Macaca mulatta: one gene and its partner. The protein of the gene in region 2 interacts with the protein of the main gene of each other region in a pairwise test. Links are inferred from orthologs where the notes say so. Each region holds a gene or a part of one and is shown on either strand. Other genes may lie near its edges.

The links.
Region 1: the proteins of CLK3 (region 2) and OAS2 interact in binary tests that used the Homo sapiens proteins (3 or more experiments, as listed by UniProt). The two-hybrid records come from large-scale screens. The link is inferred for Macaca mulatta from reciprocal best matches to the Homo sapiens genes CLK3 and OAS2.

The regions. Positions count from the first base shown.
Region 1 is NC_133416.1:120,223,807-120,228,314, reverse strand, and holds the start of OAS2 (2'-5'-oligoadenylate synthase 2), read right to left. Parts: upstream 2,987-4,508; 5' UTR 2,687-2,986; coding exon 2,510-2,686; intron 1-2,509.
Region 2 is NC_133412.1:52,562,421-52,565,336, forward strand, and holds part of CLK3 (dual specificity protein kinase CLK3), read left to right. Parts: intron 1-594; coding exon 595-761; intron 762-2,110; coding exon 2,111-2,205; intron 2,206-2,297; coding exon 2,298-2,427; intron 2,428-2,723; coding exon 2,724-2,806; intron 2,807-2,916. UniProt on the Homo sapiens protein: Dual specificity kinase acting on both serine/threonine and tyrosine-containing substrates. Phosphorylates serine- and arginine-rich (SR) proteins of the spliceosomal complex.

The DNA of each region.
Region 1 (4,508 bases), on a different chromosome or scaffold from region 2:
GATTTTGTGGCTAAGACTTCAAAAGCACAGGCAACAAAACCAAAAATAGACAATTGGGACTATATTAAATGGAAAAGCTTCTGCATGGCAAAGGGAACAATCAAGACTGAAAAGACAAACTGTAGAATGGCAGAAAATATTTGGAAACTATTTTTCCAAAAAAGGGTTTAATATCCAGAATATACAAGGAACTTGAACAACTCAACAGCAAAGAAAACAACCCATCCCATTTAAAAAGCAGGCAAAGGAACTAAATAGACATTTCTCAAAAGAAGACATACAAAATGGTCAATGGGTATGTGAAAAAATGCTTGACATCACTTATCATTAGGGAAATGCAAATCAAAACCACAATGAGATATCATATCACCCCAGTTAGAATAGCTATTATCAAAAAGACAAAAAATAACAAATGCTAGCAAGAATTTGGAGTAAAGGGAATCTTACACACTGTTGGTGGGAATTTAAATTAGGACAGTCATTATGGAAAACAGTATGGAGGTTTCTCAAAAACTAAAAATGGCATTACCATTCGATCCAGCAATCCCACTACTAGGTATTTATCCAAAAAAGGGATAACTGTACCCCTATGTTTATTGCAGTACTATTCACAAAAGCCAAGATATGTAATCAACCAACATATCCATCAGCGGATGAATGGATAAAGACAATGTGATATATATACACGATAGAATACTATTCAGACACAAAAAGAATGGAATTCTGTCATTTGCAGCAATGTGGATGGAACTATAGGTCATTATGTTAAATGAAATAAGTCAGGCATAGAAAGACAATTATTGCATGTGCTTATGTGGAAGTTAAAAAAAAGTTGATCTCATGGAGGTAGAGAGTAGGATCATAGTTACCAGAGGCTGGGGAGTGGAGAAGGAAATGAAGAGAAGTTGGTTAATGGATACAAACATACAGTTAGATAGAAGGAATAAATTCTAGTGTTTGATAGCACAATGGGGTGACTATAGTTAACAATAATTTATTATATATTTCAAAATAGCTAGAAGAGAAGATCTGAACTGTCCTCAACACAAAGAAATGATAAATGTTTGAGATGACAGATATCCTAACTACCCTGACTTGATCATTTCACATTATATCCATATGTTCAACTATCACGTGTACCTCATATAAATATGTACAATTATGTAAAACTAAAAAGCAGTAGAATGGACAAATGTGGTATATTCACACAATGGAATTGACACAACAGTGAAAAGATAAACAACTGCACTCCACAACATAAATTTCATAAACATCTTCGGTCAGAGAAACCATGCACTAAAGCACACAGAGCCCATGACGCCATTTATATAGGGTCACCCATGCATCCTGGTTTACATTCCCAGTTTTGGCACCAAAAGTCCCACATCCCAGGAAACACCCCAATCCTGGACAAACTGCGATAGTTGGTCACCCTATATTCGTAAAAAGTTTAAAAACAGGTAAAAGGTGTCTATGCTATTAGAAGTCAGGAGATTGCCTACTTGGGTTTGGAGGTATTGATTGGATTGGGGGCCCAGGGTTCTGGGGCGCTGAGAATGTTTTGTTTCTGGATCTGGGTGGGGGCTACACAGTTACATTGTTTGTGGCTACCTATCAAGCTGGACACTTTGATCTGGGCAGTTTTTCTGTTTTACTTCAGTGAGGAAAAATGTTAACACTATTGAGAGGCAGGATAGTGTAGTGGTTAAACATGCATGCCCTCAAGTCAGTTACCCAGGCTTAAAATCCCAGTTCTGACAACAGCTGTTAACCAAACTTGCCTTAGCTTCCTGAGCCAGGGCTGGGGACACCACATGTCTAGATTTCTTTATTGCGGCACTAGCTGGTGTGTGCAAGGGGTAGAGACCAAAAAGCGTGGCACCAGCAGAGAAGGGACGTCAGCAGCGCAGAAAGGTAAGAGGGTAGTATTGGGCCATGAGGACCCCCACACCCCCAATTCTAGGGTCCTGGCACCTCCCCAATCCCCCTTCCTCCCCAGAGGTCCAGAATTTTCAGCCTCAGTCCTGAGATTTGTGTCCACAAAACTAAATATTTCTAACTGATGAAAGCCACTCCTTGCTGCGAAGAAACCAGAAGGCAACCTGGATAGTCTGATCAAAGTTCTCTAGCCTCCATAAGTTTACTCCTCTGTACTGTGGAAAGGACAGAAGAAAATGGCAGTGAGTAATCACGGTGAGTTCACTGAGCACTATGTGCCAGTCTTTTGCTAAGAATGTGATGCGCTCAAGCCTTATGATACTCTGAAGTGGGTACTATGCCTCTCCCCATTTTACAGATTCAGAGACTGAGGCACAGAGAGGTTAGGTAGCCTGCCCAGTGTCACACAGCTCTGGAGCAAGAGCCTGCTCCAGAGCCTGAAACTCCTACACCACATCCCACCCAAGTGTGGGCTTCACACATAATAGGCGCCCAGCACCCAGTAGCTCGGCCTTGCTGCCGCTGTGGAATTTCCTGCCCCCCATAGCCCCAACCTCAGCCCTGGACTCACAATGGCCACTCCTTGCACCAGGGGGAACTGGTTGGGTGCCTGCAGGACATCACAGATGGTGTTCACCATGTCGTCGATCAGTGTCTGACACTCTTCGTAGGGCTTCAGGTATTCCTGGATAAACCCACCCAGCTTCTGAGCAGGCACCGAGGACAGCTGGGACCCCCCATTTCCCATTGCTCTCAGCTGGCTGCCGGCAAGACAATGAATGGCAGAATGGGAGGCAGAGGAATTCTCGCTGCTGCCCAGAGACAGGAAACAGAAACTGAAGTCTAGAGGCCTCTCTCCACCCGCTGCAGCGAGCTACCAACTCCTGCATCCGGGGCAGGGAAACGAAAACTAACTTAAGCTCAGAGGCTCTGCCCTGCCCCTGCAGTGAGCTACCACCTCCTGCATCCGGGGCAGGGAAACGAAAACTAACTTAAGCTCAGAGGCCCTGCCCTGCCCCCTGCAGCGAGTTTACCAACTCCTGCGTCCGGAGCAGGGAAACCAAAACTAACTTAAGCTCAGAGGCTTTCGCCTTCCCCTTGCAGCAAGGTTTACCGACTCCTGCACCCCAGCAGGGAAACCAAAACTGACTCAAGCTCAGACGCTTTCCCTGTGCCCTGCAGCATGGTGAACAGCCCTTCAGGGGCTCCCCAAAACTTGAGGTTAACCAAACAGCCTCTAGAACCCCATTATGAGGGCTTCATACCTGCTAGACATCTGTTCTTGGGAACATCACCTGCCCTCTTTGCGCCTCAATTTCCCCATCTGTAAGCTGGGGAAAGTGGCAGCTCTTTCATAGGATTAGCTTGATGATTAAATAATACCTGCAAAGTGCTTAGAAGCAGGGGGCACAGGTCATCTTTTGAGGCTCTGTCCCTTTCGCCCTGTTCTCAGTGACCGGGGAACTCAGATTCAGGGAGAGGAGCAGAGGAGAAAGAGACTCAGAGAGGAAACTGACTTGCTCAGGGACACAGCAAAGCAGGGACCTAACTGGACTCAGGTTTTGGTCTGCTTCTGTGTAAACACAGGCCCCGGAGTGGTCAGCGGGTGGGAGCCTCTGTGTGTCCAGTTTCTCAGCACACTTGTGGACAGCCGTGGGACCATATGAGGCACTTGCCCAGCCCCTCAAGGGCAAGAAAACACGCCCCAAGTGCGTGAGCCAGAAAGGAGAGAGACATGCAACTCCTGTGCCCAGAGCTTTGAAAACAAAACTCGCAGAGAACTCCCAGACAGCTGCCTTGGCCCAGAAAGAATAATTCACAGAGAAGGCAAACATCAAGATGTCAGGTGGGGGACCGGGGCTCTTCCATGCTGGGATGGTTAATTTTATGTGTCAAGTTGGCTGAACCCAGGTACCCAGATATTTGGTCAAACATTATCCTAGATCTTATTGTGAAGGTGTTTTTTAAGATGAGGTTAGCATTTACATTGGTAGACTTTTTTTCTGAGTAAAGCGGATTATCATCTGTAAGGTGGTGGGCCTCATTCCATCAGTTGAAGGCCTCAATAGAATAAAGACTGAGCTCGCTCAAGGAAGAGGGAATTCTGCTGCAGGCTGCCTTGGCCTCCACTTGCAGCAGGAACTCCTTCCTGGGTCTCCCACCTGCCAGTCTACCCTGCCGATTTTGGATTTGCCAGCCTCCACATTCACATGAGCCAATTCCTTAAAATAAATATCTCAAAATAAAGATACATACCCTGTTGGTTCTGGAAAACCTCAATTAATGCTCATGCTCATTAAGGGCCTTCCCTGCCCTTATCCAACTTCTACTGCAACACCGAGAGGTAGGCAGGCTGGGCAGGCGTAGTCTTAAAGCTCCTTTCTCAAATGAGAACATGGAGGCTCAGAGAGGTGGAAACATCTGCTCAGCAAGTTGTCAGGCTAGGTTCTAACACTAACACACTGCCTGACCCCAAAGCCTGTGCTTTATTTGTTACTTTAAAAAACACTTTATTTTGAAGTAATTTGAAACGCTGAGAAAATTTACAAGATGCACACAAAGAACTTCCT
Region 2 (2,916 bases):
CGAGGCAGGCCTCCCAGGCCTGCATTTGTGAATTGGGGAGCTCACTGGGTTATGTTTGGCGTAAGACAAGATAAAAACATGAAGCCGTTTGGGGCTTTCACATAGTAGGAGATACCCAAAGGAGGGCCTTTCTGTGGCAAACACACTGAGCACTCTCCTTCACACATTGTGCTGAGCCTGGGCAGATGGGTGAATCCAGCACACCCTCACGAAGCTCAGCAGAGTGGGCAGGTCGAGAAAAGCAGCACCAGTCCTGCAGAGTGCACTAGCACTTTCCATGTCTCCCTCAGCAACTCTGAGGCAGGGCTTCTCCCACATCATAAGTAGGGAAGCTTGGAGGGCTTGTACCAGAACTCTGGACATCTCCCCTACCCACTGCAGGAAGCTTAATCCTTGCCCAGAGCTCATCTGGGGATTGGATGATGGCTGGTGGGGAGAAGTGCTCTTGCTGTGGTTCTCTTGCATTGTGTGTATCTGCGTTCTGGTGTGTGACCCGGTGGCCTAGGAGAGAGTTGGGAACTGTCTTCATCTGAGAGAGGGGGTGAGGCAGGCCCCCAGCACACAGCCTGAGCCCTGCCTATCCTCCTCCTCCAGCCTGTGCGTCTTGATGTCTGACTGGTTCAACTTCCATGGTCACATGTGCATCGCCTTTGAGCTCCTGGGCAAGAACACCTTTGAGTTCCTGAAGGAGAATAACTTCCAGCCTTACCCCCTACCACATGTCCGGCACATGGCCTACCAGCTCTGCCACGCCCTTAGATGTAAGTGTCCACCCTCAAAAGAAGCATGGGCAGCCACATGCCTACAGCCAAGTCATCTGGTTACTTGTCCCCATTCATTCCAGCACGTTACTAACCATTCTTCTGGGCCTGAGGGACACCAGATCCCCTTTGGCGGAAAGGCCTGTCTTCAGGTGGGAATCTCAGTGTGAGGATGGAAAGGTTAGGGCTCCCTCCAGGGACCGCCGGACCAGCCTCTCTACCCCCAGGCACTCAGGAAGAAAACAGAAAAGAACTGCTCCAGAATTGGCCTAACCACCAACCCCACCTCCCTGCTTCATGCATGGGGTAAAAAGGTAGAAGCCTGACCTGACAGGGCCACAGGTCCTGCCCACATGGAGACCCTCTGTGCAACCCTGACTTGTCATCTCCCTGCCAGCCTTGAAAAGCATTTGGTGGTGCCAGGGCTCAGCACTGTAGGATTTGCAGTGGTTGCAGCAGTACAGAAAGGCTCCTTGGTGAAGTTGGTAGACCTTGAGCTAGAATATAGAATAGCTCAAGGTAACCCTGCATCGCTCCCCTACCCTGAGCACTGCTACTTCGTGATAGGCTGCAGGCCACTGGGGTGGGAAGCCCCACATGGATGAGAAGACGGGTGTCTTCCTCCTCCCACAGAATTTGCAAGATGGGACAGGGACAAGGTTTCCAAGCAAGGGGAACAGCTTGGTGAGGCCTGGAGCCTGTTACGGGCTGAGAATTGGCTCCAGTGGAATAGGCTATCATTGGGGAGTCGTGGGCCACACAGTTGTGAGGGTCTTGAGTGCCAGATGGGAGCCTTGAGCTGAAAAGTGACTACAAGCAGGAAGCCACTGTCAGAAGGGGCTGGACGGGAAAGGCTTCCCTGCTCATGACTAGCGATGAGAGGCGGGGCTGGCTTCCTGGGTATGCAACCTATGCACTCAGTCACACAGGACCCTGTGCTTGATTCTTAGTAACTTGAACAGGGGACCTGCATTTTCATTTTGCAAAGGGCCCTGCAAATTATGTAGCTGGTGCGGGGAAGAGGGAACCAACTCAAGGCTGTTGCTGTAGCTTTGGTGAGAGACAGGTGAGGAGGCCTGGTCTCTGCAGAGGAGAGGTGGAGGGAGGTTTTTCAAATGGCAAATTTCTTTCCCACCCCCCTGCTAAAGTATCAGAACCCTCCAAGGCCTCAAGTACAGACTCTTGAGAGAGAGGCCAGCACAGAGGCAGGCTGCAGTCCAGCTCCCTGCTGAGGTGGGGGTGTGAGGAGCTCTGGCAGTTGCTGGCATTGGAGGAGGGGTCTGGCCTAGCGCTGGCAGGAGAGCCAGCTTCTCATTTGCCTACTTCCCCTTCTTTCCCTGCTCCCTTAGTTCTGCATGAGAATCAGCTGACCCATACAGACTTGAAGCCAGAGAACATCCTGTTTGTGAATTCTGAGTTTGAAACCCTCTACAATGAACACAAGGTATTGGTGGGGGTAAGGGTGAGGCCCTGCTCCAGGGGTGGGTTACCCACTGGTGTGGACTCCTGACCTGGCAGGCCTGCCTTGCTTTTCAGAGCTGTGAGGAGAAGTCAGTGAAGAACACCAGCATCCGAGTGGCTGACTTTGGCAGTGCCACCTTTGACCATGAGCATCACACAACCATTGTGGCCACCCGTCACTATCGCCCACCTGAGGTGATCCTTGGTGAGTGACTGTATGGCCTGTGACCTCGTCACACTGGACTGTTGGGAGGGTATAAACAGAGGCAGTGGCATGCCTGGCAGTCTCTGCCACCCAGGGCAGGCAGAGTTTCTCAGACCAAGAGGCCAGTGTCATGAGACACAGGTGACTGACCTGGTTTTATCTGTCAGCCTTACTGAGAGGGCCTTGTAATGGGATTTGGGCAAGAGTCCTGCCAGCCAGTGTGGTGGCTGCCCTGTGACCTCCAGGCTGGAAGCATAGGGCCAGATCTCACAGCCTCTCCCCATCTTGGCTTTCAGAGCTGGGCTGGGCACAGCCCTGTGACGTCTGGAGCATTGGCTGCATTCTCTTTGAGTACTACCGGGGCTTCACACTCTTCCAGGTACAGCCACCCCACATCGCTCCCCTACCCTGAGCACTGCTACTGTGATAGGCTGCAGGCCACTGGGGTGGGAAGCCCCACCTGGATGAGAAGACAGGTGTCTTCCTCCT